Linked DNA regions of Saccharomyces cerevisiae S288C. Changing the gene in region 1 together with any one later gene gives a genetic interaction. Each region holds a gene or a part of one and is shown in the gene's direction. Other genes may lie near its edges.

The links.
Region 2: mutations in WSS1 (region 1) and SSK2 together harm fitness more than expected from each alone (negative genetic interaction), as found in Saccharomyces cerevisiae (3 studies listed by BioGRID).
Region 3: mutations in WSS1 (region 1) and TDP1 impair growth when combined (synthetic growth defect), as found in Saccharomyces cerevisiae (9 studies listed by BioGRID, with this or other methods).
Region 4: mutations in WSS1 (region 1) and RAD4 together harm fitness more than expected from each alone (negative genetic interaction), as found in Saccharomyces cerevisiae (3 studies listed by BioGRID, with this or other methods).

The regions. Positions count from the first base shown.
Region 1 is NC_001140.6:370,078-373,058, forward strand, and holds WSS1 (metalloendopeptidase WSS1), read left to right. Parts: upstream 1-1,671; coding exon 1,672-2,481; downstream 2,482-2,981. Other genes in the region: IGO2 (phosphatase regulator), read left to right, coding at 1-372; NSG1 (Nsg1p), read right to left, coding at 645-1,520; serine/threonine protein kinase YCK1, read right to left, coding at 2,617-2,981. UniProt on the Saccharomyces cerevisiae protein: Metalloendopeptidase that acts selectively on DNA-binding proteins. DNA is needed to bring the protease and substrates together to enable proteolysis.
Region 2 is NC_001146.8:676,781-687,121, reverse strand, and holds SSK2 (mitogen-activated protein kinase kinase kinase SSK2), read left to right. Parts: upstream 1-1,688; coding exon 1,689-6,428; downstream 6,429-10,341. Other genes in the region: putative serine/threonine-protein kinase PPG1, read right to left, coding at 6-1,112; ALG12 (dolichyl-P-Man:Man(7)GlcNAc(2)-PP-dolichol alpha-1,6-mannosyltransferase), read right to left, coding at 6,668-8,323; ZNG1 (GTP-dependent zinc transferase), read left to right, coding at 8,634-9,923; peptidylprolyl isomerase family protein CPR8, read right to left, coding at 10,019-10,341. UniProt on the Saccharomyces cerevisiae protein: Kinase involved in a signal transduction pathway that is activated by changes in the osmolarity of the extracellular environment. Activates the PBS2 MAP kinase kinase by phosphorylation.
Region 3 is NC_001134.8:665,890-673,757, reverse strand, and holds TDP1 (tyrosyl-DNA phosphodiesterase 1), read left to right. Parts: upstream 1-3,460; coding exon 3,461-5,095; downstream 5,096-7,868. Other genes in the region: MCX1 (Mcx1p), read left to right, coding at 1-186; YBR225W (uncharacterized protein), read right to left, coding at 429-3,131; PCS60 (Pcs60p), read left to right, coding at 5,407-7,038; YBR221W-A (uncharacterized protein), read right to left, coding at 7,116-7,220; PDB1 (pyruvate dehydrogenase (acetyl-transferring) subunit E1 beta), read left to right, coding at 7,505-7,868. UniProt on the Saccharomyces cerevisiae protein: DNA repair enzyme that can remove a variety of covalent adducts from DNA through hydrolysis of a 3'-phosphodiester bond, giving rise to DNA with a free 3' phosphate.
Region 4 is NC_001137.3:498,385-506,826, reverse strand, and holds RAD4 (Rad4p), read left to right. Parts: upstream 1-3,932; coding exon 3,933-6,197; downstream 6,198-8,442. Other genes in the region: chromatin-remodeling ATPase CHD1, read right to left, coding at 1-1,435; GCG1 (gamma-glutamylcyclotransferase), read left to right, coding at 3,045-3,743; SPT2 (Spt2p), read left to right, coding at 6,479-7,480. UniProt on the Saccharomyces cerevisiae protein: Involved in nucleotide excision repair of DNA damaged with UV light, bulky adducts, or cross-linking agents.

The DNA.
Region 1 (2,981 bases):
AGCAGCAGGGTGGATTTGAGCAATCCTCATGGGTTTACCAAAGAGGGAGTGGATTTATCGAAGCTGTCACCACAAGAACTAAAATTGTATAAAATGTATGGGAAGCTTCCATCCAAAAAAGATCTGTTAAGACATAAGATGCAGGATCGTCAATATTTTGACAGCGGAGATTATGCATTGAAAAAGGCCGGAGTCATTAAGTCGGATGACGTTATCGTGAATAATTCTAGTAATAATCTACCAGTGACCAATCCTAGCGGTTTAAGAGAGTCTATTATTAGAAGACGTATGAGTAGTAGTAGTGGTGGCGATTCTATCTCGAGACAAGGAAGTATCTCAAGTGGACCTCCACCAAGATCTCCAAATAAATGACTAATGAAGGAATGATATTATGTGGTATTACTTTTTTTTTATCATCACTAGCTTCGGCTAAGCCCTTGCATTTTCAATATTCAATTACCAAATAATATATATATATATATATATATATGTATGTATGGTATACCTTGTGTTACTGATGTGTTTTTTGTTGACGTCATCCTTTTGATTTACTCACATGCTTAGTAAATGAAGGTTGTTGAGGCCTAAAAATCAGCTAAGATTTACACATCGATACTAATCATTGAACGCCCCTATGGGAACACTTAATTGAATAAATATCTGCCCAACTTGCTGAACATCAAAAACCCAAAAAAATAGAAATCTATAAAATACAACGCCAGTGACAACTGCGAGAAACATTGTGAGCAAGTGAACGCACTAAGGGCACCAATTACTAGACCTGGGAAAAAAACGGTTAAAGTGCCATCAAAGAACAACCACAGAACAATGTTTAATAAGCTCCATGCACCAGCTGCCTGCAAAGAGGAGGACCATTCAAGTTTCCTAATACCAAATATTAAGCCCAAAAGAGTATTGGCACATCTTATAAATGATCCTAGGGTGTTTTTGTAAACTGATGACCTGGTTTTTGGCTGGTGTTGATAACGAACGAAAGAGTCAATGAATGGTACTATGGAACCAAAGATAACACCTTCAGTACCAAATACAGCCCAATCAGGCACCATGTCAGGTTCCGCGACGATCTTGTTCTTAATTTCTATACCATGCTTTAAAAAGGATACGATATCTCCCTTTGCCAATTGGTCATTATCAAACAAACATTCTGATATCATGGGGAAGAGTATTCCTGCTATGAATAGAATAAAAAATGCAGCAATAGTATTGATTATTTTCGCATACAATGACCTTTCGTGTCTCGCAGTCGCGGATGGCGGAACCATTTCCAATTGAGAGGCGTTAGACAATAAAGCCTTGTCATAAACATTACCTTCATTCTTGGTAATATCGTCATCATAAAATGAAAACAAAGCGGGCTTAGTCAGCGTATTTATAGCTGTAAAACTTGCGCTTCCCAGCTTATTTCCCAAAGGTGGCAAAGCTGCCTCTTTCTTGGTATTATGGACACCATTAGGAACACCTCCAGTGTTTAATTGGTTCTTACTCTTCTTCTTGCCCATTAGTAACCTCCTCTGTTTAAATTTTTTTTTTCTCACTTGCTCTGAATACCAAAAGGTGAGTTTGGTGAAGAAATTTTGACACTTTTTCTTTTGCGCTGTATTTTGTAACAACGCATATTTTGAAGATATTCTAAATAAGAGAGATTGATTAATGAAGACAGAAGGAATAAAAAGCCCATCGGCAAAATACCATGATATGGCGGGCTCCCAGAGAATCCCTCACAAGAACCCGCACATTCAAAAAGTGGCTGTTTTGCAAAGTAAGCCCAATAAGGAAGATGCGCTAAATTTAATAAAGGAAATCGCACATAAAGTTTCCTATCTAATGAAGGAAAATCACTTCAAAGTGACCAACTTGGTGGAGTTTTACCCACGTGATCAAAGACTCCTGGGAATGAACGTCAACCATGGATCTAAGATAATGTTACGGTTAAGATGCTCCACGGATGAGTTCCAATTTTTACCCATGGAGTGTATAATGGGCACCATGCTGCACGAATTAACTCACAATTTATTCGGTCCACACGACAAAAAGTTCTACAATAAGCTAGATGAGTTGATTGGAAGGCAATGGGTTATTGAACAAAGAGGTTTGTACGACACATTTTTGGGGAACGGTCAACGTCTCGGTGGAAGAGCAAACTTACGTTCAAATAGATATCCTATGACAGGAATAAGTACTAACACAGGGATAGTGAGAAAAAGGGGCAAAGGTGTGAAGTTAGGGAGTTTGCATCCAGAGGGTATATCATCTATAGATAGAGGTAATTCCCCGAGAGAGTTGGCGGCTTTTGCAGCCGAAAGGAGATATAGAGATGATCGCTGGTGCGGAGAGACGAAGAATAACAAAGATCAAATAATAAGTGATAATATTAGCAGCTCCTTAGAAGTTGTAATCCTTGATGATGATGACGAGGTACTCCCGGGAGATACTCTTATCGAAGTTATTGATCTCACTTAATCTCTTGTCCACAGCGAAGAACTCGAAAATTATAAGTATGGTAAATGTCGTTTCGGTTGTAAAGTATACAGATATATTCACATTACAAAAAATGTAAGAAAGACGGTAGTCTTGCAAAAAATGTCATTTCTATATTTAGCAACAACCTAATTTTTGGAAAAAGCCCTTATGAGAAGCAGCTAGACTTGAATTATCGTCATTTGGGTGCTGTTCAGGAGTTCTTAAAGCAGCAGAAGGTTGTTGTTGTGGTTGATAACGAGCGCCAAACTGCTGAGATTGAGTTTGCGCTTGAGGCTGAGATGGAGGTTGGCCTGTTGCACGTAGCTGTTGCTGTTGCTGTTGCTGCTGTTGCAATTGTTGCTCTTGAAGTTGTTGCTCCTGAAGTTTTTGTTGCTGCTGTCTCTTTTGTTGTTCTTGCAGGTATTTCTGCTGGGTTTGATGCTGGTAAGCTTCATAAGAAGTAGGGTCTAACTTTGGTTTATATTGAGAATTGCGCATAT
Region 2 (10,341 bases), on another chromosome or scaffold:
GTAAGCTACAAGAAGTAATCAACATGTCTGTTAGAAGCAGATCTGGCTTGGTATACATCTGAAAATATGTACATTTCAGGGTCCGTGGAGCCATCTGCGGAGGCAGAGTCGTCTTCGAAATAATCTGCAATCAATTTCCTGTTGGCTACCGGATTAGATATGCTATCTTCTAAGGCATTGTCGTTCATACTGTTCTCTTTCAACAGTTTATTTTCAGGTGCCTCTTCGAAAACGTTGAAGTAGAATTGATCTTTACTATACAGCTCCAGAATAGATGCTTTATTGCCGCACCGATAACAATAGTTTGGCGCCGACCATACAGTAGTAACCAATCCATCAAAATATATCTGGTAACCTTCGTTACATAACTGATGGGCTCTGTATATTCTGTTCATATCGTTCATACGTAAGAATTTCTCCACCACGCTTCTTCCGAAAGTATAACCTGCTCCACGAGGTGACACCTGGAAATGTTGTCCAGAGTTATCTGGATGATCTAACGTGGGGTTATTGTTTTCTTCCGGATCAGACCAAACCAAGTCTGCCATGGCGCCATCGTGTGGAATTTCTCGAAATCTATCAATAATCTTGATCTGATCTATGGTTTGAACATTGGGCGAGAGCCCACCATGAACACAAAAAATTTCGTCGTCGATAATACAGCATAACACTAGATAGTCAAATATATCTGTCAAATATTGCCAAACTCTTGAATTGCCACCGTACTTGTTCAAGCACTCCGTGTAGAAACCATAGCTCTGCGTGATTTGACGTGACTCGTGGTTTCCCCTCAAAAGATGAATTCTACTAGGATATCGAAGCTTAAGCACAATCAATAGCATAATTGTTTCCACACTGTACAACCCCCTGTCTACATAGTCGCCCAAGAACAGATAATTCGTATCAGGAACAGGGCCGCCTATTTGGAAGATCTCCAGCATATCGTGAAACTGTCCATGCATATCCCCCACGACTGTGACAGGGGTCTGAATGTGAATCACGTTTGACTCCTTCACTAGCATTTCCTTCAGCTTAAAGCAGAGTGCCCTTACAGTCACTTCAGGTAGTAACTGGGCCTTGTATAGCCTTTCTAAACATTCGTCCAATTCCATCTCTACTGGGCCAATTCTCTAACCAAAAATAAAAGTACACAGTGGGGATACAACTGCAATGAGTGGAACTTAATAAACAGTCACGAACTGTTCCAAATTACCTACAACTCGCTGAAAATACCGCGTTTCATACCCTGAAACAGTGGGTATTTTAGCAGTTTTGCATTATTAATTACTGCTCCATCACCCGGGAAACTCGCGCCACTTTTCGGGCGTTTCTTTGTATGGAAAGAATTGATTAATCTGAAAAGAGTGATAAAGGTGGGTAAACAGAGATAGAAAGAAGCCAAATCTGCAGATTAGAAGAGGTTAGAAGATTGTAATTGTTGCTGCCCCAGTGTGTTATTGCCTTAGAGAGTAGTACTGTTAAAGAACAGCTAAGAACGGGTGTTTTCAAAACGAATTACTGGTTTACAAAGAATTCAAAGGAAAAAAAAAGGTTCCAGCATATTTGTTAACTTTTGTGTGAGCTCCGTCTGTCCTTCAAGTTACTATTGGGCAGTTTCAAGTACAAACAGTCTGCCATTACTAAAAAGAAGAGAAGCCTTTGCGTAAACTATTTGACAGGCACAAATAATGTCGCATTCAGACTACTTCAATTATAAGCCTTACGGCGATTCCACGGAAAAGCCCAGCAGCTCCAAGATGAGGCAGTCATCTTCATCATCTTCATCTAGACTAAGGTCGGAAAGTTTAGGGCGAAATTCCAATACTACGCAGGCTCGAGTAGCGTCATCGCCCATCAGCCCAGGGCTGCATTCTACCCAGTACTTTAGATCACCAAACGCTGTTTACAGCCCTGGAGAGTCTCCATTAAATACAGTACAGCTATTCAATCGTCTTCCGGGTATACCTCAAGGTCAGTTTTTTCATCAAAATGCCATTTCTGGGTCCTCCAGCTCCTCGGCAAGATCTAGTAGACGGCCCTCGAATATTGGTCTTCCTCTACCAAAAAATCCTCAGCAGTCTCTACCGAAGTTGTCTACTCAACCTGTTCCTGTACATAAGAAAGTTGAGGCTAGTAAAACAGAGAGCGAGATTATTAAGAAGCCCGCTCCCGTGAATAGTAATCAAGATCCATTATTGACGACCCCAACGTTAGTGATATCACCAGAACTGGCTTCACTAAATACAACGAATACATCGATTATGTCAACGCCACAAAATATTACAAACCAAACTTCGAACAAACACATTCCCACCAGATCGCAACCAAATGGGTCAACAAGTTCCTCCACTTTGCAGGATATTGTCACGACAAATAGCTCGCAACGGTCTGTAGGCCACCATGGTGGAAGCACAACGAGCCTCCGAACATACAAAAAACAATATGTATTAAATGAACAGTTATATTTAAGAAAAATGAGAAACCGTGCTAATGATGATTATTACACTAGAGGTATAGTCGCATCATCCAACTTTGAAGATGACGAAGAAAATTTTAGTAACAAAGGTGAAGATGACTTAGAACTAGAAATGGATGATCTTTTAAAGGTAGAAGGTGAGGATAAAGATAACGACTTCAATTTTGGTTATAATTTTATTACGTCGAGCACAAAAAATAATGAAAATGTTGTTTCGATGAGCCTAAATTATCTAAAGGGCAAATTGGATTGGTTGAGGGATGTGAACAATGATCAACCGTGTGAAATAGAAGATGAGGAGTGGCATTCCATACTGGGGAGCGAGGATTTGCTGTCAAAATTGTTACAAAATCCTATGGTGAACAACCGATTTGAATGGCAAACAATGTTATCTAAGGTACTGAAGGGAGATATTGTGAGGAATGAAAAAACGAAGATTGCAAATCAAGGGAAAGGCCCTGGCTTCAATACTCAGTTTTCAGATGACATTTGGATTGAGTTGAAGGCATGGATGAATGGGAGGACCGTGGAAGATCAGAACAAATCTCTGAGGATTTTTAGGGATTCTACTGACTCCGTATTTCAAGAAATCATGGCCTTTAAACTAGAAGATAATATGAGCGCTGACGAGGCTGCAGAGACTATCAAATCACTAGTAGACAAATATTATAGAGTCTTAAATCTATGGCCTAACATTAAAAGAATGCATGCTGAAAAACCCATTACTAAAACAGAAGCATTCAGGAATCGAATAGATACTTTGAATAGTTGGCTTAATTTCAAATTTAACTTTGATACTAATATTGCGTACCTGAAAAAATGGATAGTTGGCAATAAAGAGCTAGAAAGCACTACCGAAGTGGATAACACCACCGTGAATTTGGATGATCCAGCCGTTTTCGCCACTAATTGTAAACGCTTTGCGGAGCAAATTATGAAGGAAAAGGATATTGAACTGATATTTCAAAAAAAAATATTCTTTCCATTAGCACCATGGATTTTGAAGGCCAAATTTTTCTTCTTGAAATACCAAAAAACTTGGAATGAATTGAATCTATCTTATTTGGATCAAGATCTGGAATTTTTATTGATGTTTCCAATGCGTTTGGTAAAAGATATAATACTAATTCGCCTATCTTACGCGAAGAAAATACAGAATCCAACCTTGATGATGATCGATCAAATGATGGACGATTTTAGTACATATATTAAGTTGGCAGTCCAAATGAAATTCACTGTTGCTTCTTACTGTAATGACTGGTTTTTTAAAGTGAAAATCGATCCCGAATTTGATCATACCGTTGTTGAAGGATTGGAATATTTTTTCTCCATTTTGGAACTGAGAATATTATATAGTGGCAAAAACTCATTCAAGACTTCTAAAGAACCTGATCTGTTATTAAAATATTGGGAAATGTTTAGAAACGTCGGCTATTATATTGATGATGCAGGCGAACTGATCGCAGCAGAATTTACGAAGTTGACACTTAGATTGGTTCACAGATTGCACGCTTACCTTTTAAGGCAGCAAAACACTCCGCCAAAATTAGAGAATGAAGCTGCTGCTGAAAAATGGCTGGTGCAAATATTCGAAATACTTGGATCCATGAAAAGAAAACTCAATAGATTCACCAATATTTTGACAAAAGCATTTCAAAATTTTGTCCGCTACAAGATAGAAGATCACAACTATCTGCTAAAGCAACTAAAAGAAACAGGCCACTTTCTTATATACACAGGAGGTTACCTAGAGCAAAATGGTACTTATTTAATTGGTAGCCCAGAGCTATTAGGCTGTAAAGATGATGATATTTTAAGAATCATTAAGAATTCAGACATCGGTTGTGATTTAGTGCCTAAGCTAGAAATTAATAACAGTCTGACAATTTATAATGCTTTGGATGATAATTGGAACTCCAACTCATCACTGGGTTCAGATATCTCGAATGATGGTACCCCATTTTATTATATCAAAAACGATTTGACCACCCAGCCTAGATCTTATAACGGTAATAGAGTCAATCGTGAACCGGATTTTGAAAACAGCAGGAGCACGGAGGAAGAGTTTTATGAACTGGAGACAAGATTGAACTCTCTTGGTTATGTATTGGTATTGACTCCGCAAGAGCCATTACTTTGGGAGGGTGAGATGTATAATCTATCCGATAACAAAACAATTAAACCAGAGGGATTGAACTTGAAAGTAATTCCTAATTCAATAGATTTGATGTGCCAAGGATCCAGTTATGCCTTAGAATACCAATGTGACAGGTTCCAACAGATATCTGGTAGCTCAGTTTCTTTCTTGGAAAAAAAATCTTCCTCAGAAACGGTTAAAAACAACTTACAAAGGATAAATAAAGCATATTTCAGATGCACGTACAGTGTTCTGAAGAACTATACAAAGATTGTGACCACGTTCAAGAAGGTAAGTCCTGTCAATGATTTATTGAATAATATTTTCCTTTTTGGGAGGGATTTTGGTCTGAACTTTTTGAGAATTAATGTTGCCAACAATGAAAAAAGATCCATTATAATACTTTTAATGATGCGGTTAAGTATCGGATGGCTGAAGTTCTTAGCTGAAGACTGTGATCCGACTGATCAAAGGGTATTTAGGTGGTGTGTCACGTCAATGGAGTTCGCGATGCATATGGTAAGCGGTTGGAACATACTAGCTCTTGATGAATGCCAATTTTCTTCTTTAAAACAAAAAATTTCAGAATGCATGTCATTACTTATTTCTCATTTTGATATAATAGGCGCACGCTCCATAGAAGTTGAGAAAATCAATCAACAAGCTAGATCAAATCTTGATTTGGAAGATGTGTTTGACGATGATATGATGCTACAAGTGAATTCCGAGTTCCGAGTACAAAGTATAATGGAATTGGAAGAAAGGATAAAGCGGAATCCTCATCAAACTGGTAAAGTAATTGATGATAGTGACAAAGGTAACAAGTACCTTGTTTCTTTGGCATCTTCCATATCGAACGTTTCTATGAGATGGCAAAAGAGGAACTTTATTGGTGGCGGTACTTTTGGAAGGGTATATTCTGCTGTTGATTTGGATAATGGTGAGATTTTAGCAGTCAAGGAAATCAATATTCAAGATAGCAAATCAATGCAAAAAATATTCCCCTTAATCAAGGAGGAAATGAGTGTCTTAGAGATATTGAACCATCCAAATATAGTTTCATATTACGGTGTTGAAGTTCATCGTGATAAAGTTAACATCTTTATGGAATATTGTGAAGGCGGTTCCCTAGCAGCTCTTTTGGAGCATGGTCGTATTGAAGATGAAATGGTCACTCAAGTCTACACTTTACAATTGCTAGAAGGACTTGCATATTTGCATGAATCCGGCATTGTTCACCGTGATGTTAAACCCGAAAACATCCTACTAGATTTTAATGGTGTTATTAAGTATGTTGATTTTGGTGCTGCTAAAAAAATTGCTAATAATGGAACTAGATTGGCAAGTATGAACAAAATCGAAAACGCAGATGGTGAACACGAAGATGTTACCCATGTTTCTGATTCAAAGGCAGTGAAAAATAACGAAAATGCTCTATTAGACATGATGGGAACTCCTATGTACATGGCTCCAGAATCCATCACTGGATCTACCACCAAAGGCAAACTTGGGGCAGACGATGTTTGGTCGTTAGGCTGCGTGGTATTAGAAATGATCACTGGTAGACGGCCATGGGCTAACTTAGATAATGAATGGGCTATCATGTACCATGTTGCTGCAGGACATACCCCACAATTCCCTACTAAGGATGAAGTGTCGTCTGCTGGTATGAAATTTCTGGAAAGATGTCTTATTCAAAACCCCTCCAAGAGAGCCAGTGCGGTTGAGCTGTTGATGGATCCTTGGATTGTACAAATTAGAGAAATAGCCTTTGGCGACGATTCTTCCTCTACAGATACTGAGGAAAGAGAGTAGTTAAGTTGAGAAGGTTTGTTGTATTATATGTAAAATCAAAATATAATGTAGTGGGGGGAGAGTATATAATGTTAATTCAAGGATAGAAGATTAATGATAGCATTTTTTTATAATTGTTTTGATTTTGAGAACAGAAATTTATAAAGGTAAGATATAAAAGTGAAAATTTGAAGTCTAGTCGAGGTGGATTAATGTAAAACGCTCGCTATATATTTTATTGGAATTGACGTTAGCTATTATCAATCAGTTTTTTCATCTTGTTTGATTCTCTTATAGGTGAAGAAGACATCGCTTTTAACAATCGAATTGGCCGTCAATTCTTTCAAAAAAACGGTAGGGGTCTTGTCGAAAATGATCTGTTTGAGTAGAGACAAAACATTCACTCTCTCTTGGAAAACAAAGTTCTTAATGTAGGTTGGGTCAAATCCAGTAAACATCTTTGTTGTGTTAACTAGCTCCCAATGGTTGGTAGTCTTATTCTCGAATGGCAATTGAGAGGCGGTTGGCTCGTGGGTGATCAAGAAATCAAAGGAGGGCCACATTTCCTGCAGTAAAGTCGTATTTTCAGTCTTATCGTAATTGATGCCGTACACACCGTAGTTCAATTCACCAAATAAAGTGACACCTGTCATGCAAGGAGGTATGCTGATATGAACTGTAGCGTTTGTAATATTTTTTTCCACAATCATGTCATTAAAAGAAGTTAAAGCCTCGCCGCCTGGATAATTCATTCTTGATATATACAAGAACGCCATTGAAATGAAAAAGGAGGTCATTATAGATAAGGGCAATATAGCCAAACATAAAACATTGGTAATCTTTTTTACTTTCATATTCTCCCATAGATGTGCTGCTCCTGTGGCACCTAGCAACATGATAGATGGAACAGCGTAGATGATGAATCTCCATTCTTTGTGAGGTTGAAAGGATAAGACGATAATGTGGAAAAGAGATGCTAGTGAGACAATTTTTAATTTTGCAGGTGCTAATTTATAGCCGAAGTAATTCAATAGTAAAACAGTTGGTGGCATAAACATCATTCTCAAGTAATGCGTGAAATAAGCAGTAACTGGCTCCACACCCCACTTGGAAGCGTAACCCGCAACCACGTTGAACAAGAAACCATCTACCTCAGGTAGACACCATTCTTGCCAGAAATATGAATCAACGGTGATACTGATGGCGGAACCAAGTCCCAAGCCAAAGATACCGAATTTGATAGCATCGAATAAAGAAATCTTCTTGAAGATGACGCTAAATAGAGCAATACCAGCACTGAGAGCTGACACTTCCAGTCTAAATACAATTGCCACGAGCGCAGATAGGAATATAGCTGCATTATAACGACCCAATAAAACCCACCCCAATGCGACGTTGGTTAGAGGCAGAGTCATGACAAAATTAGGCAGAGTCCTAGTGCTGTAGAACATGAGGTGGAAACTGCCAATTAAAAATAAAAGAAACCATGTACCAGCGCTATCGTAAATGTATATATCCTTGTCTTCATTTTCTTCCTTTTTCTTTTCAGTGATTTCATCAAACATATCTTGCAAACAATTCTTTAAATAGATAAAAGAAAGCCCATTGGTGAGGCCAACAATCCCCCTAACGACCAATTGAACATCTATAGACGTAGGCCTGGAAGTTTGGATCAAAGAACTCAAGTAAAGATAAGGTCTCGAAAGCATTGCAATAATCACAGCACCAACGAATGTTCTAGGGACTACTCCAGGAAATTTCAAGTGGTCATATTGGGAGATATCAAATACGCTGTAGGTTAAAATATCATGAATGGCTTGAATATTAAAACTCTCTTCCACCTTGGTGAATGGAGCTTGGATTAGATGAAAGGAAATCACGGTCAATAGCACTGTATCAAGGACAGACCAACGCATTGTCAACTGAATCGTTGTTTAATGGCTTTATTCAACTCTTTTAACAACACTAATCGTTAATGGTTTCACTTGCTATTAGTAAATTCCTTGCGTTATAAACTGTGAAGTGCCACGACATTTAATGCCGGCTGGTAAAAGGTTGTTCATTTTTAAGGGCCGAATTTTTCATTTTCATTTTCATTTTTTTTTTTTTTTCACTATTGGAATAACATGTATATTATAAATATTATATAATATTAAATGTTTAATGCGCTTGTAAAGCCAAGAACACCCTTTTCATTGAGGAATTTTCAACTTTTAAAGCGGAAGAATGTCTGCATTGAGAAACATCAAGTTCAATGAAGAAGAAGATGGTGAACTACCCTGCCTCGTAACAGGTGAAGAAAATAATCTACAAGAAATTTTGGAAAATGTCTCGTATGATGGTGGAAATATTGTTAGCGATGCAAAAGTTGAAAGGGTAAACAAGCAAGTGGAGAACACTTCTGCAGGCGCAACAGATGTGCACGAGAAAAAGCGTATTCCTGTGAGCATTATTACCGGCTATCTAGGATCAGGTAAATCGACGTTGCTGGAAAAAATTGCATTAAAAGGTGCAGATAAAAAAATTGCCGTAATTTTAAATGAATTTGGAGATTCTAGTGAAATCGAAAAGGCTATGACCATTAAAAATGGATCGAACAGCTACCAAGAATGGTTGGATTTGGGTAACGGGTGTCTGTGTTGTTCGTTGAAAAATATAGGTGTTAAAGCCATCGAAGATATGGTGGAGCGTTCACCTGGTAAAATCGATTATATCCTTTTAGAGACCTCCGGTATTGCAGATCCCGCCCCCATTGCGAAAATGTTCTGGCAGGACGAAGGATTGAATAGCAGCGTTTACATTGACGGGATCATCACGGTTTTGGATTGTGAGCATATACTAAAATGCTTAGATGATATTTCCATCGATGCCCATTGGCATGGTGACAAAGTTGGTTTGGAGGGGAATCTGACTATTGCACACTTCCAACTAGCCATGGCTGATCGAATTATAATGAACAAATACGATACTATCGAACATTCACCAGAAATGGTCAAACAATTAAAAGAAAGAGTACGGGAAATAAATTCTATCGCACCGATGTTCTTCACCAAGTATAGTGATACGCCGATTCAAAATTTACTAGATATTCATGCATACGACAGTGTACGGATATCTGACATCTTAGATAGTGGTAGCGGAAACGGTACCATTCATGATGATCGAATGGGCACAATAATGCTTACTTTCAGACCATTAAAAAACGAGGAAGAATATAATAATAAGTTTATTAAGCAATTTTTGCAACCTTTATTGTGGAAGAATTTTGGAGCCATGACAGTGCTGGGAGGGCGTCGCCGAGATGACGGCCGTGATTGGGAAGTACAAAGAACTAAAGGTCTGATACTTATTGAAGGAGAGAACCCCATTGCTCGTGTAATCCAAGGCGTCCGCGACACCTACGATGTCTTTCCAGGCAAATATGACGGATCCAATAAAGAGTGTAAAATTGTGCTGATTGGGAAGTACCTAGAAAAGGAATCCATAGAGGAACTGTTACGTAAAACCCTGGAATGATGGTTGGCATAATAAAGACGAGGTAAGTTATGTATATTTATACGTATGTATGTGATACAAAATGAATGAATATTAAGCGGATGGATCGAAACATTTTAATCCTCTCTAATAGAAACTATTTTAGACGATCTGTTGAATATTCTTTTCCTGTACTTGGCCAAAACGTAGAAAAGTAACAATACCGAAATACCAAGCATAATCTTTGGTAAAGGATGGTGAAGCTGATTATATTTTGCGTCTTCTAACTTTCTTTGACTACCCTGGTATAAATAATTCTTCAATGTAATACCTTTCTCCAAATCGCCGTTTTGGTAATCTTGAAGCCTTTGTAAATACTTTTCGTGAGCTTCCTTTGCATGCTGAATCCTGTGTTCCTGGGATGAAATGTAACCTATTGTTATTGGTTGCTCTGGTTTGC
Region 3 (7,868 bases), on another chromosome or scaffold:
TTACAGGAAACAGAGCACTCTTTGGCTTCCCAAGTGGACGTAAAATACTATTCTGGTGATGAAAAGGACAGTTTAATTCGTGACGTTTCTGAAGAAGATAAAAAATTAGGAGTTATGCTAGAAAAAGAGTTGGGTCATTCTGCTAACATTCATACCCCAACAATTCCCAAGAGAAGCTTAACATAAAAAAAAATGAATGGTATAGAATATATAAATATAGATGTAATAAATGTAGTAAATGAACAAATAATCTTCCTACAAAGTACTATGCCATGGGAAGTAAAAAAAATTAATAAATATTGGCTAAAGTGTTTCAAATTGGTTCTACGATACTGGGAGACTACTCCTTATCATAATGCTTTTTGTCCAGTAGTAAAAATTGAAGTAATTCTTGAACAATTTAAAAAAAAATTGGAACGGCGGCACAATTATTTGGTATATGGCAGCTTTGGCTTTTGCGCCACCACATACAAAGTTCTAAAGCAGCCAGCGTTGTCATCGATTTTTCCTATGTGTTCTTCCACATATCTTTTGAAAAGAGTGGTGGGGTCGGTATCCTTTGGAGGACAACTACTATCTGGTAGTTGCCTCCTTAACATGTAGTCCCACATATCTAAAGAATTAAATTCATTCAAAAAGCCCATATCTGTTTTGAAGTCACCAGTTTTCAAACTTAGGACCGAGGACTTGATGCCTGTAAACCCTACATCCTTGAATGTCCTCGTTAAGTGTTTTGTAGGATGGATATGTAAGCCTTTATTTATCGCATCAATAGCCATAGCATCAAATGTCTTGTCCCGTTCTTTTGTAGTCAAAAACTCTTCTGATGAATTATTTGCTTTTTCGGCATCGGCGTTGCCAAGAATTCCAGTATAGTATGTGTTTGAAATCCTTAAATCTGGAACAATTGCCAGCGCGTACCCGCCAGGAATTATTGATCTGTATATTTCCCTAAGTAGAGCTTTCCATTTATAATAACTTAAACTTGTCCAGACCCACGGGCATATTACAGCAGGTATAGTGTCTGATGCAAACGGCAGTCTTAATTTTAAATATTCTTTACCATAAATAGCTGCGCTTTTTGCCCTGTCAAGTCCTTCATTTGGAAAGGAGTTATCCGAATTAGAGGATATTGGTGATGACAAAGGTGGTTCATCTTCAGGCTGAAGTTGTGCATTAGAGGACCTCTTCACTTCCTTTGGCAAAATAAATTGGGTCGGTAAATCGATTTCTTTGTAGTTGTTCAAAGTCCGGCAAAAAAAATTCTCCAACCATTCATTTTGATGTGCTTGGTTGGCTGATTTGACATGGGGAGCTTTCTCTGTCCGAGGGGGACTAGAGATATGTGACTGTGGTTGAATTTTTGGAGAAGAAGAAGAAGATATGCTAGGTGAAACTGAAGGGCTTGTAGTATGTGAAGTTGATGCAAGTTGAGAATGCTTTCTCTTGAAAAAGTTGACGAAACCAGATTTTTTAGTAGCCTTGGTAGGGCTCTTCTTCCTTTTGACAGCATCTGCTCCCGAGGACGGCAATGATAAAGATCTACTTGAAGCGAATTGGTCGTTTAGAGGGTCTTCCTCAACTCCCTGATTGAAGTTGTTTCTAGAAATACGTTCTTTTGCATCATCTGTAAAGAACTTTCTATTCATGCAATCATACATATACTCTGAAGCATTGGAAGAATTCAATTCGATAACTTCTTGTTCGTCAGAAACTATTTTCGCTCTTGAACCCTTTCGTGGCAAATAATTTTGTAAGTTTGTTAAATACTCAGGAGCAATTTCACTAGCATTCTTATTCTGAGCGTCATTGTCACTGCTGTCAATCATCCAGGGAGATAAATCTAATGCGAAATCTGCGATGTTCAAGCTTGGTTCATCATACGCCAGCTGCCAACCGCCCAGGGTTTTATGCAGCGGTCTTATTAATAAGATGTCAATTTCGTCTAATGGATCCGATATTACTGGCCTTGGAGAGTTTGCTTCTATATCTAACTGCTGAATATATAATGTAGGGTCACTGATCTTGTTGCTGGTGGTGCTGATTGTTGGATTAGAATGTTGTCTTGTGGTTGGTTTTCTTTTTATTAGTTCCTCCACTACTTCAGATGAAAAGAAGAATGAATTTGATTGCAGTAAAAATTTTTGAGATTGAGCCAACCATAATTGAATCAAGGATTCAATTTCAGAATAATCTTTTAACGGGTCAAACGATGGAAAGCATTTAACCTCAGTCTCTATATTTATGATGTTTTCAATGTTAAATGGATAACATTCAAATGCATATTTCCTAGATTCCAAATATTTTGTTAGGAAATCAATGTACGACCGTAATCTTTTCTTGGCAAATATTAAAGAGTCTTCTGGCGAGGAGTCCATGTTAAAAGATAGAAACAAGTCCATTCTATTAAAGAGCTCATTATGATTCGGGTCGTACATTATTTGTTTGAATTCACCGTCTATGCAAATGTTGATTAAATTATGATTTCCTGAAACGGTTTTGATTAGAAGAGAAGAATCTGATGCCGGTAAAGTGTTCCAGTCCCATTTTTTTCTAGAATGGAGTTTCTTGACAACGTTCGAAGTTGCACCGTGTAGACCACCACCTCCCCGGCCATTGCCGACCATATTGGATACAATGAATCGCGGTGCAGAAGGGTCTGGTGAGTAATTAGCTTTCACTTCGGAAGTCGGAGTTCCGCTTCTATGACTATGTTTATTATTACTTGTATGATGATGATGTAGACCTATTTTGGAAAGCTGAGCGGACTTCAGTTTGGATACTGAGGATGAGGCAGCGGAGTCAGATGATCGTCTTGACGAGTTTGAGAACAAGTCATCCGCCAGTCTAAAGTTTGGCAAATGTAAGGGCGAATCAAAGGACGAGAGCTTATCTGAATGATGGCTTACTTGTGGTGAGTGTGATTCTACTGAACTACTTGATTGCGTGGTTCCATTTCTACTCTCTTTTTCTTGTTTCCCCTTTTCTTTGTCAGCATTTTTATGTTCAGTAATCATTGAACTTGTATGGTTATCATGTGCTTTTAAGTTGGAAATTTTGTTACTGGTTATACTGGTTAACCCCCTATCATTCTTACTATCAATGTTTTTTGCTTCCTTATTGGAGCCCATTGTATTTACTTGAGCAGTTTATAAAAAGTGGATAAATGAGGGGAAAAATAATAAAAAAGAAAATTGAACAATCCTTCAATATGTGTCCTTTAATAATTACTACTACTTTACACACTTCTCCAGTAGCTGCTGCTTGTTTCAGGTGATGTGAACAACGTGTTTCAGCGTTCTTGGTAAGTGTTGGTATGGATCCCTTCTGATGTATTTTCGGCGGCCGCACTAAACTGCGAAAATGGTAATTTAATAAAGGGCTTATAAAGAGGAAAATAATGCAGAGAAACGGTGAGCCCAGACAAGAATGATGATAATGTGTTTTCAACCGATCATTAATGTCACGAGAAACAAATTTCAATGGAACTAAGAGGAAGAGGTCGGATGTTGCCGAGAAAGTAGCACAACGGTGGAAGAGCGTCAGGTATAGTGCTGAAATGGAGAATATGGCTCCGGTCAACAGTAACAATGATAGCGACGACTGCGTCATAGTCAGTGAATCGAAAATCATTGATTTGACTAATCAGGAACAAGATTTGAGTGAGAGAATAGAAACAAACGATACGGCAAAAGGTGCCGTTTTTAAACTAATGAAATCGGACTTCTATGAAAGAGAGGATTTTATGGGAGAAGTAGAGGATATGATTACATTGAAAGATATCTTTGGCACTGAGACACTAAAAAGAAGCATACTCTTCAGTTTCCAATACGAACTTGATTTCTTGTTGAGACAATTCCACCAGAACGTAGAGAACATAACCATCGTCGGCCAAAAGGGTACTATTATGCCTATCGAAGCCCGTGCTATGGACGCGACACTGGCAGTAATATTAAAAAAGGTCAAACTTATTGAAATAACGATGCCCCCATTCGCTTCCCACCATACGAAGCTGATCATAAACTTTTACGATAATGGCGAATGCAAAATATTCTTGCCATCTAACAATTTTACGTCAATGGAGACTAACCTGCCTCAACAGGTGTGTTGGTGCAGTCCCCTTTTGAAAATAGGTAAAGAAGGGCTACCAGTACCGTTTAAGAGAAGCTTGATAGAATACCTCAATTCGTACCACCTGAAAGACATTGACGAATTGATTACAAAAAGCGTAGAGGAAGTTAACTTTGCTCCTTTGAGCGAATTAGAATTTGTATATTCTACGCCCTCCAAATTTCAGTCGTCGGGTTTACTGTCGTTTTACAATAAACTAGAAAAACTTTCTGCTGGCACAAGTGCTAGTGATACTGCAAAACATTATCTATGTCAAACTTCATCCATAGGGACATCTCTATCAAGAGCGCGAGACGAAAACTTATGGACACATCTAATGATTCCTCTGTTTACCGGAATCATGTCCCCTCCAGCAAAGGACACCGCTGGGAGGAAGAAAGCAGAAATACTGCCAACGAATTCATTGATTAATGAATATTCGCAGAGAAAAATCAAGCCGTACATTATTTTCCCCACCGAACAAGAGTTTGTCACCAGTCCCTTAAAGTGGTCCAGTTCCGGGTGGTTTCATTTTCAATATCTTCAGAAAAAGAGCTACTACGAAATGCTGCGAAACAAGTTCAAAGTATTTTACAAGCAAGACCCTGCTATGGTTACTAGAAGACGAGGGACGACGCCCGCGCACTCTAAGTTTTACATGCATTGTGCAACAAACTCCGCAGGGCCCTGTGATGCATCGCAGGTATTTAAAGAACTAGAATGGTGCCTTTATACTTCGGCAAACCTCAGCCAAACAGCATGGGGCACCGTTTCAAGAAAACCACGCAATTATGAAGCAGGAGTGCTTTACCATAGTCGCAGGTTAGCAAATACCAGGAAGGTCACGTGCCGTACTTTTACACGTGACCGTAGAGGCTGCGCGGGTAATCCCACCCATGTGGCCGTGCCATTCACGCTGCCAGTCATACCATACGACTTAGCTGAGGACGAGTGCTTTTGCCTTGCTCGTCATGAGAACGACTAACAAGTAAGAGCGCGATGTTGCTGTCCACTTAGGCATCACTATATGGGGCCAGGAATGGCAAATTTACTTGATAAACTTCAGGCGATTGGATTTTGGTGCTCAGAATATTTTTTTCTCGGGCCGAAAGCGTCTTTAACTATTCCGAGCTAAAGCTTCCGAGTCCTTTATTCGGTCTTTTTTTATTTTTCAAGATTAACTGTATATAAATAGAGATGGTATGATTAAAAGCTCTTTTTAATAGATGCTCCTTCTTGAAATTTACTCCCACTGTGCTGCAAGAGGTTAGACGCTTCACGCACATTTTTGCTACAATGACAAGTGCCGCTACTGTTACTGCTTCGTTCAACGATACTTTTAGCGTATCCGATAATGTCGCCGTTATTGTTCCTGAAACGGACACTCAGGTGACCTACAGGGATCTATCCCACATGGTGGGTCACTTCCAGACCATGTTCACAAATCCTAATTCTCCATTGTACGGAGCTGTTTTCAGACAAGATACAGTGGCGATATCCATGCGTAATGGGCTGGAATTTATCGTCGCTTTCCTCGGTGCTACTATGGACGCTAAAATTGGCGCGCCCTTGAATCCCAATTATAAGGAAAAGGAGTTCAATTTTTATTTGAATGACCTGAAATCTAAGGCGATTTGCGTCCCAAAGGGTACCACAAAGTTACAGAGTTCTGAAATTCTAAAATCTGCCTCCACGTTTGGATGTTTTATCGTAGAGCTGGCCTTCGATGCGACCAGGTTTAGGGTAGAGTATGATATATACTCTCCAGAGGACAACTACAAAAGGGTTATTTACCGGTCTTTGAACAACGCCAAATTTGTCAACACAAATCCCGTTAAATTCCCTGGGTTTGCCCGTTCCAGTGACGTTGCCCTGATTTTGCATACCAGTGGTACCACCTCCACTCCAAAAACGGTGCCTTTGTTACATTTGAACATTGTGAGAAGCACGTTGAACATTGCTAACACTTACAAGCTAACGCCCTTGGACAGATCTTATGTCGTGATGCCTCTTTTCCACGTCCATGGGTTAATTGGTGTTTTACTTTCCACTTTTAGAACTCAGGGTTCTGTTGTGGTTCCCGATGGATTCCATCCAAAGTTATTCTGGGACCAATTTGTTAAGTACAACTGTAATTGGTTCAGTTGCGTTCCCACAATAAGCATGATTATGCTGAACATGCCCAAACCAAACCCTTTCCCACACATTAGATTCATCAGATCGTGTTCTTCTGCTTTGGCTCCAGCAACGTTCCATAAGCTGGAGAAGGAATTCAATGCACCTGTCTTGGAGGCCTATGCGATGACCGAAGCATCACATCAAATGACCTCAAACAATCTGCCTCCAGGAAAGAGAAAGCCTGGTACTGTGGGCCAGCCACAAGGAGTCACCGTCGTCATTCTAGATGACAATGACAATGTCTTGCCCCCGGGCAAAGTCGGCGAAGTTTCCATCAGAGGCGAAAACGTCACTTTGGGGTATGCTAATAATCCAAAAGCTAACAAGGAGAACTTCACCAAGAGAGAGAACTATTTCAGAACCGGTGACCAAGGTTATTTCGACCCTGAGGGGTTTTTGGTCCTTACAGGCAGAATCAAAGAGCTTATCAACAGGGGTGGTGAAAAGATTTCACCCATTGAGCTCGACGGCATTATGCTATCGCATCCAAAGATCGATGAAGCCGTTGCATTTGGTGTTCCCGACGATATGTACGGCCAAGTAGTTCAAGCCGCCATTGTTTTGAAGAAGGGAGAAAAAATGACCTACGAAGAACTGGTGAACTTCTTAAAGAAGCACCTAGCCTCTTTCAAAATTCCAACCAAGGTGTACTTTGTTGATAAGCTACCAAAAACCGCTACAGGTAAAATCCAGAGAAGAGTTATCGCAGAAACTTTTGCTAAGAGCAGCAGAAATAAGAGTAAGTTGTAGGCAGTATCCTGTACAATTTTATGCTCTCTGAAAGCTTCTATCTGGCACCCGTTTATATACGCCAATACTTATGTATTTTATCTATCTAATGAAACCACAGTATTTATCATGCCTAAGCTGATTCTTTTTCGTCGCGGCTGTTTCCGGGGTCTGTTTTCCGAGACTTCGAAGTGGGAGAACATGCAAAAGAGACGAGTCTTCAACTAAGAAGTTCTCCGTCATTAAAAGTCATGCGTTTGCACGTTTGCAATAAAAAGAGGTGTATCTACATATACAGGTTAACGATTGCAACAGCGACTCTTGATATTATCTCTGTCAAGTTTCTTCCTTTTGTTAGACTAATTTAGTATCATTTACACACTCGGACGTTAAATTCCGCCTCCCTCATAACAGTTCCTGTGTTTGTTCATTGATAATCGATCGCAGTTTAGTAAGTTCTTTTACTTTTGCAATAATTTTGTTCAACATGTTTTCCAGACTGCCAACATCATTGGCCAGAAATGTTGCACGTCGTGCCCCAACTTCTTTTGTAAGACCCTCTGCAGCAGCAGCAGCATTGAGATTCTCATCAACAAAGACGATGACCGTCAGAGAGGCCTTGAATAGTGCCATGGCGGAAGAATTGGACCGTGATGATGATGTCTTCCTTATTGGTGAAGAAGTTGCACAATATAACGGGGCTTATAAGGTGTCAAAGGGTTTATTGGACAGGTTCGGTGAACGTCGTGTGGTTGACACACCTATTACCGAATACGGGTTCACAGGTTTGGCCGTTGGTGCCGCTTTGAAGGGTTTGAAGCCAATTGTAGAGTTTATGTCGTTCAATTTCT
Region 4 (8,442 bases), on another chromosome or scaffold:
CTTTTGCCCTTGGATTGGTGTAAAATTCATATTCTCGAATGGTATCTCTTGATTTTTGGTTGCCCATATAGCATATACAATTCAAATCAGGCGCCCATTTCTCAAAAGTATCCAACCAGGCAGGCATTGTCGATAAAGGAACGACAATGATGTGAGGTCCGTTTTGTCTACGAGCAAATATCAGCCAACTGATAAAGGCGACAGTCTGGACCGTTTTTCCCAGGCCCATCTCATCTGCCAGTATACCATTATCACCTTTGGACCACAAAAATGCCATCCAATTAATACCAGTTAGTTGAAAATCTCTTAATTCCCCACCTTTAATGAACGGAGGTTGCACGCTTAACTTCTCAAAACGCGGTCTCTGTGAAGTATAATTACTGGAATATTGTGGGAGGATCTTAGAGTTTTCTCTGTTTTGAAAATGTTTCACTTGTTCAGGTGCCAATTTCACGATATCTGTGGCATTCTCCCAAGTAGCCTCGTCGTAATTTAGACGACGCCATTTAACTAAATACTGTAATTGTGAGGTGCCGTCTTCCAACGAAGCACGTTGGCTATCAATAATCCTTTCTGGCACGTGGAACTCCTCAAATTCATCAAGCCTACGTTCACGTTCCATGTCCATGATCTCTATATCTTCGGCGGTAACGTATGGATCTAATCTTACTTGTTGATCTTCGATGATGAATTGCTTACAATAGTTGTCCAACCTCTTCAATCCACGGACTTGGCCAATGGATTCATAAGTTTCCCAGGTATTGTGGAGATGAGATTCATCTGTCCATTTGATTAAGAATTCATAATTTTCCTTGCAGTTATTGAGGTCAGGAACAGTCTTTTCCAAGACCTTTCCTTCTTCCAAAGATGTCTTTAGTCTGTGATTGATAACAATATCAATACCGTGGAAGTCCTCTGGTTGAGGATTGGCAGATGCTTCATGCACATTTTCCTCTGATAAAGCCTCCTCGGAACCATAGTCATCTTCAGATTCTAAGAGGTCATCATCGCTATAATCGATGTTATAATTTACCGTTTTGTTTTGACGATTAGAAAACCTTGTTGGTATTTTCACTGTAGATTGCTTTTCAGATTGAGATTTTGGCTTAGATTTAGACTTTGATTTTGTTCTTGATTTCGGTTTTGATCGATTTTGTTTTATAGGAGAGCCATAATAATCATCATCTTCTTCAAAATCTTCCTCATCTTCGTCCTCTCCAGAATCTTCTTCGCCTTCTTCATCTTCAAATTCGTCTTCGTCGTCTTCAATCGTGGTCATTCTCTTCCTCCTCGACTGTTTAATATTATCTTCATCGTCCTCATCATCGCTATCGTTGAAGTAGTTTTGTTGATGCGCAGCAGCTCTATGTGACCGCCTCAGCCCATATAGTTCAGGATTTTGCAGCACTTCAGTAGAAATATCCTTGGCTGCCATTATAAGTGAGAATTAAATTAGAAAAGGTTCTGCTTTGAATTGGGTATAGGTTTAAAGAAATAACGGAAAAGTCTTGAAGCAAATGAAAAATAAAAACCTTTGAGAAACTTTGTCGTTAGTGAATAGGTAAGCTAGTGGAACTCAAGTACGAATTAAAGAAAATGATGGTCGATGTTTAGGCTTATTCAATTTTCTCCTTTGGAAGAAACAAGTATGTGTATATTCACAAAAGAAGTAACGGAAAAGAGAAGGTGACTTCTGCAAGCTTGCTTATCTTGACTTGATAACCCCAAACTTTTATCAACTTGACTTAGATGTCCGGACAAGAATACGATAGTACTAACCAGATATAATGAGGACAAGATTCTTCTACACAATGTTTCTCGTGGTACAGTTTCGAAATTGAAAAGAAGGAAAGGAAAAAAAGTAAAATTATATAACGAGAGGGTAACAGTATGATAATCGACTACTGAACTATGATCTGTTCGACAAGTGTTGCATATTACATGTCTTTAATGGTATCAATAATTGACATAATCTTATATCAGTAATGATATCAGGAAAGAACTTTGTAATGTTTGGGAACATATGTCCTAGTGTAGGGATGGGATGTGATAAGGATCGTGGGATGTTAAATTTATTCTCTTAGATGAAATTGCCTACACCTTCTGGACGGTTGATAATTAAGTTTTCAACTTTAGCGTGTTTCATTTTCAAAATATTGAAGAAGTGGCCTACCAGTGATATCCAACCGATGCGCGAGCAACACGCAAGCCCTTGGCTTGTGAGCAGCGTTTAGCTGACCGTATTACGCATTGATGGGCTGAGGAAAACATACAGGCAATCATGTCTTTTGATTTTGGCAACGTATGATCTTTTACCGTATATGGGGCAGTAACATATCATCGAAGTAAAAGCTAAAACAAAGAAAGTTAAAAAAAATAAACGTACAACATAGAAGCTTACCTTTCAAGGATATCTCAAAAGTATCAAATATATCACGGTGACTTCGGCCTGCGAAAGAAGATTTTCCTCGAACGGTGAAATACTGAGATGATCCATAAAGTAATGAGAGTGTTCTCGCTTGTATGGTTCGCTGACCTATGCCACCCGTGTTTCTCCATTGCGCAGAGGCTTCCATATTGACCACTACGTAGTGGCAACTTAAAACAATCAAAAATCGTTTTCTTCCTTAGGACTTGACTGCTTCGTCTTAAGATTATTGCCAGAAATTGAAGACAGAAAACATCAGTGAGAGGGGAGGGAGAGAGTGTCGCAACGTATGACCTCTTTTAAAGGCGTATGTCAACCAGCGGTTATCAATAGTTCCCTTGTGTTAAGGGAAGCTTGGAAGTTGTCACCAACACCTAGCAGACTTTTCTTCGACGTCCTCCCTAGTGGTTTATATGAAGAGAATGAGAAAATTTGCCACTCCAGTAATTTTTCCTTTTTTTTTTTTTTGGATTCGCCAAGGAGCGGGATAATTGGTATTCTGGGTAACGCTAAAAGGTAAGGTCAATATTAGCTATGAGTTTAGTCTCGAGGTGATTTAACCTTGGAAGAAGCAATCACGACGTTGGTTTGGGCTTATAAAAAGTTGTATGGCCAAATGACTAATGACAACAGTGGTATCTGGGTCCTAGGCTACGGATCTCTGATTTACAAGCCTCCGTCTCATTACACGCATAGAATACCGGCAATAATTCACGGTTTTGCTCGTCGGTTCTGGCAAAGTTCCACTGATCATAGGGGTACACCTGCAAACCCAGGAAGAGTGGCCACACTAATCCCGTATGAGGATATTATAAGGCAAACTGCCTTCTTGAAGAATGTGAATTTGTATAGTGAAAGTGCACCTATCCAGGATCCCGACGACTTAGTCACCATAGGGGTAGTGTATTATATACCACCAGAACATGCTCAAGAGGTTAGAGAGTATTTGAACGTAAGAGAACAAAACGGGTACACTCTACATGAGGTTGAGGTGCATCTAGAAACTAATCGGGAGCACGAGGCAGAATTGGGTGAAGCATTAGAACAGTTGCCTCGGCACAACAAATCGGGTAAACGGGTACTACTTACTTCGGTGTACATTGGTACAATAGATAATGAGGCCTTCGTCGGACCAGAGACCGTGGATGAAACTGCGAAAGTAATTGCCGTGTCGCATGGACCTAGTGGATCTAACTATGAATACCTTGCAAAACTGGAGCAAGCGCTAGCGCAAATGCCCATCATGAAAGAGCGAGGGCGTATTACCGATCATTATCTGACTGCTCTATTGGAGACTGTAAATAAATACAGGTGAATGAAATATGTATACATATCTTGATTAACTATGTAAGGTTCTCCTCTTGCTTTTCTACCATCTATATAGTGCGGCGGAAAATGGAAAAATGCGGTTAAGTACCTTTAATGCATGCACAATATATGCAAATTTTATGCAGTTCAAACAGGACGACAAGCAGAGACATAACGACACTATTTTTCCGCTAAAATGAATGAAGACCTGCCCAAGGAATATTTTGAACTAATAAGGAAGGCTCTTAACGAGAAAGAGGCAGAAAAAGCGCCCCTGAGTAGAAGAAGAAGAGTCAGAAGGAAGAACCAGCCCCTACCAGATGCCAAGAAGAAGTTTAAAACAGGGTTGAATGAATTGCCACGAGAAAGCGTTGTTACTGTAAACTTAGATTCTTCAGATGATGGCGTCGTTACGGTACCGACGGATGATAGTGTAGAGGAAATCCAGTCATCTGAAGAAGATTATGATTCGGAGGAATTTGAAGACGTGACAGATGGAAATGAGGTGGCCGGTGTAGAAGATATATCTGTTGAAATTAAGCCCTCTAGTAAAAGGAATAGTGATGCTAGAAGGACAAGCCGCAACGTTTGTTCTAATGAAGAACGGAAAAGGAGAAAATATTTCCACATGTTGTATCTAGTTTGCTTGATGGTTCATGGATTTATACGAAATGAATGGATTAACAGCAAGCGCTTGTCTAGAAAACTGAGCAACTTAGTTCCTGAGAAAGTGTTTGAGCTACTGCATCCTCAGAAAGATGAGGAACTCCCACTTAGGAGTACTAGGAAATTATTAGATGGGTTGAAGAAATGCATGGAGTTATGGCAAAAACACTGGAAGATCACTAAAAAATATGATAATGTGGGACTTTATATGAGAACCTGGAAAGAAATTGAAATGAGCGCCAATAACAAAAGAAAATTCAAGACGTTGAAAAGATCTGACTTTTTAAGGGCCGTCAGTAAAGGTCACGGAGATCCTGATATTTCAGTGCAAGGTTTCGTTGCGATGCTCAGGGCTTGTAATGTTAACGCACGACTTATCATGTCATGTCAACCGCCAGATTTTACCAATATGAAGATTGACACTTCTTTGAATGGAAACAATGCGTACAAAGATATGGTCAAGTATCCGATTTTTTGGTGTGAAGTGTGGGACAAATTCTCTAAGAAATGGATAACTGTTGACCCAGTAAATCTCAAAACCATTGAACAGGTCAGACTTCATTCCAAGTTGGCACCGAAAGGCGTGGCGTGCTGCGAAAGAAATATGTTGAGGTACGTGATTGCTTACGATCGGAAGTATGGCTGTAGAGATGTAACTCGAAGATATGCCCAATGGATGAACTCTAAAGTAAGAAAAAGAAGAATTACTAAAGATGACTTTGGTGAGAAATGGTTCAGAAAAGTGATAACAGCACTTCACCATAGAAAGAGAACCAAAATTGATGATTACGAAGATCAATATTTTTTTCAGAGAGATGAAAGTGAAGGCATACCAGATTCGGTGCAGGATTTGAAAAACCACCCATATTATGTTTTAGAACAAGATATCAAACAGACTCAAATTGTAAAGCCAGGATGTAAAGAGTGTGGATATTTAAAAGTACATGGAAAAGTTGGGAAGGTTTTGAAAGTTTATGCAAAAAGAGATATTGCGGATTTGAAAAGTGCTAGACAATGGTACATGAACGGCCGAATTTTAAAAACTGGTAGCAGGTGTAAAAAGGTGATAAAGAGGACAGTTGGAAGGCCTAAGGGCGAAGCAGAAGAAGAAGATGAAAGATTATATAGCTTTGAAGACACAGAATTATACATCCCTCCATTAGCCAGTGCGAGCGGTGAAATAACCAAGAATACATTTGGAAACATCGAAGTTTTTGCACCAACGATGATACCTGGTAACTGTTGTTTGGTTGAGAATCCTGTGGCAATTAAAGCTGCTAGGTTTTTGGGGGTGGAATTTGCACCTGCTGTAACTTCTTTTAAGTTTGAACGCGGCAGTACAGTTAAGCCAGTTTTAAGTGGCATTGTTGTTGCAAAGTGGCTCAGAGAAGCTATTGAAACCGCTATTGATGGAATAGAGTTTATTCAAGAGGATGATAATAGGAAGGAACATTTGCTTGGTGCTTTGGAGAGTTGGAATACTTTACTGCTAAAACTGCGTATTCGTAGCAAGCTGAACTCCACATATGGTAAAATTGCCGAGGAAGAACCTAACGTTACGAAGGAACAGAATATTGCGGACAATCACGATAATACGGAGACTTTTATGGGAGGTGGGTTCCTACCAGGTATAGCAAACCACGAAGCAAGGCCGTATAGTGAACCTTCAGAGCCAGAAGATAGTTTAGATTATGTTTCTGTTGACAAAGCGGAGGAAAGTGCTACAGACGACGATGTCGGGGAGGATTATTCGGATTTTATGAAAGAACTAGAGATGTCAGAGGAATCAGACTGAAATGAGGCTGAAACGGTTTGAATAATTAGGAAAGTATGTTTTTAATAAAGAAATTCTATGTTCAGGAATTTTGTATATACTTTGTAATGAATGAGAACTTAGTTGGCTTCAAACTTTTTCGTTTAACATGATTATTTTTCTTGTTCGACTAAGATATTCCCACATGGACAAGTGCCACAGATTAATATATGAATACAATAAAATAACTAGTGTAATTTGAAAATAAAAGTTGATGAGAGGGACAGGGACTTGAGTCCTATTCAAAGTGAAATATTTTAGTTATGAGTTTTCTTTCCAAACTTTCCCAAATACGAAAATCAACGACTGCATCAAAAGCCCAAGTGCAAGATCCATTACCCAAGAAGAATGACGAAGAGTATTCCTTGTTACCCAAAAATTACATAAGAGACGAAGATCCTGCAGTAAAAAGATTGAAGGAGCTGAGGCGGCAGGAACTGTTAAAGAATGGTGCTTTGGCTAAAAAAAGTGGTGTAAAACGGAAACGTGGCACCTCATCTGGATCTGAGAAAAAGAAAATAGAAAGGAATGACGATGATGAAGGTGGCCTTGGAATTAGGTTTAAGAGGTCTATTGGAGCAAGTCATGCGCCACTCAAGCCAGTTGTAAGGAAGAAACCTGAACCTATCAAAAAGATGTCATTTGAAGAGCTAATGAAACAAGCGGAAAATAATGAGAAACAGCCCCCAAAAGTTAAGTCATCGGAACCCGTAACTAAGGAACGCCCACATTTTAACAAGCCAGGTTTCAAAAGTTCAAAAAGACCACAAAAGAAAGCATCCCCTGGCGCAACATTGCGTGGAGTATCTTCTGGAGGCAATAGCATAAAATCATCAGACTCACCCAAGCCCGTCAAGCTCAACTTGCCCACAAATGGATTTGCTCAACCTAATAGGAGATTAAAAGAAAAGTTAGAATCTAGAAAACAGAAATCAAGATACCAGGATGACTATGATGAAGAAGATAACGATATGGATGATTTTATAGAAGACGATGAAGATGAAGGTTACCACAGCAAATCGAAACACAGCAATGGTCCCGGATATGATCGTGACGAAATTTGGGCTATGTTCAATAGAGGCAAGAAGCGGTCAGAATACGATTACGATGAGCTTGAGGATGATGATATGGAAGCAAATGAGATGGAAATCTTGGAAGAGGAGGAAATGGCAAGAAAAATGGCAAGGTTAGAGGATAAACGTGAGGAAGCTTGGTTAAAAAAGCATGAAGAGGAGAAGAGACGCCGTAAGAAGGGCATACGCTAAGGAATATTGATATATGTTTTGATATATGGACGTGAAATGACTAATGAAGTCGTAGAGAGTTTGGGAACTGTTTCGAGGCACTGTTTCACTTCTTACATTCATTTTCATACCCTTTGTAATTGCGTTTTCCATTTATCCAGTTTGCCTGTCCGATTTTCAAACGTACAGTGATGATATGCATCAGTTGGGTTAGAACATTTATATTGTGTATCGCCCATAATTCTATAAACTTTACTATGTAAAAATAAAAATGAACCTTCACTATTCTTTCAAGACGGACTGAAAATTTAAAGACTTGGTTGTTGCAGTTGATCGATTATACAAGACTAACAATTCCAGTATCATTTTTGCCTTAATTTGAGACCTTTTTCAACAAGATTCGCGGCAACGTAGTTGTATTTTTTTTTTTCCACAACCCGTTTCCTTACAAAAGCATTCGGAAACTAAACATAAATATGGACCAGCTTTACAAGAGCTATGGTATGTTCATATTATTAGGATATATTAGGTGAGATATTAAAAAATGAAACAAATTGTGTCACCAGTTAGATAGGATTCAAGTAGTCATTAAAATAGAAACAAGCGTTTAGGGTATGCGTTAAAAGAAACTCTAGCAACCTCCAATTGCCAGTGAAAAACTTCCCGAGAAATACTACAACGACAGTGATACATCATACACTTAATAACACTGTAAGGTCCTCAGTTTTTCCAGGTGGAAGGATCAAATACATACCCTTAATCAATATAAGTAAGTCGAAGGAAGAGATTCGAGCAATGCATTAAAATATGATATTTCAACACATTGACTAAAACGGTTGTATATTCTTAGCCCACTGTGTTGTATCTCAAAATGAGATACGTCAGTATGACAATACGTCATCCTAAACGTTCATAAAACACATATGAAACAACCTTATAACAAAACTGTTGGAATAAAAATCCACTATCGTCTATCAACTAAT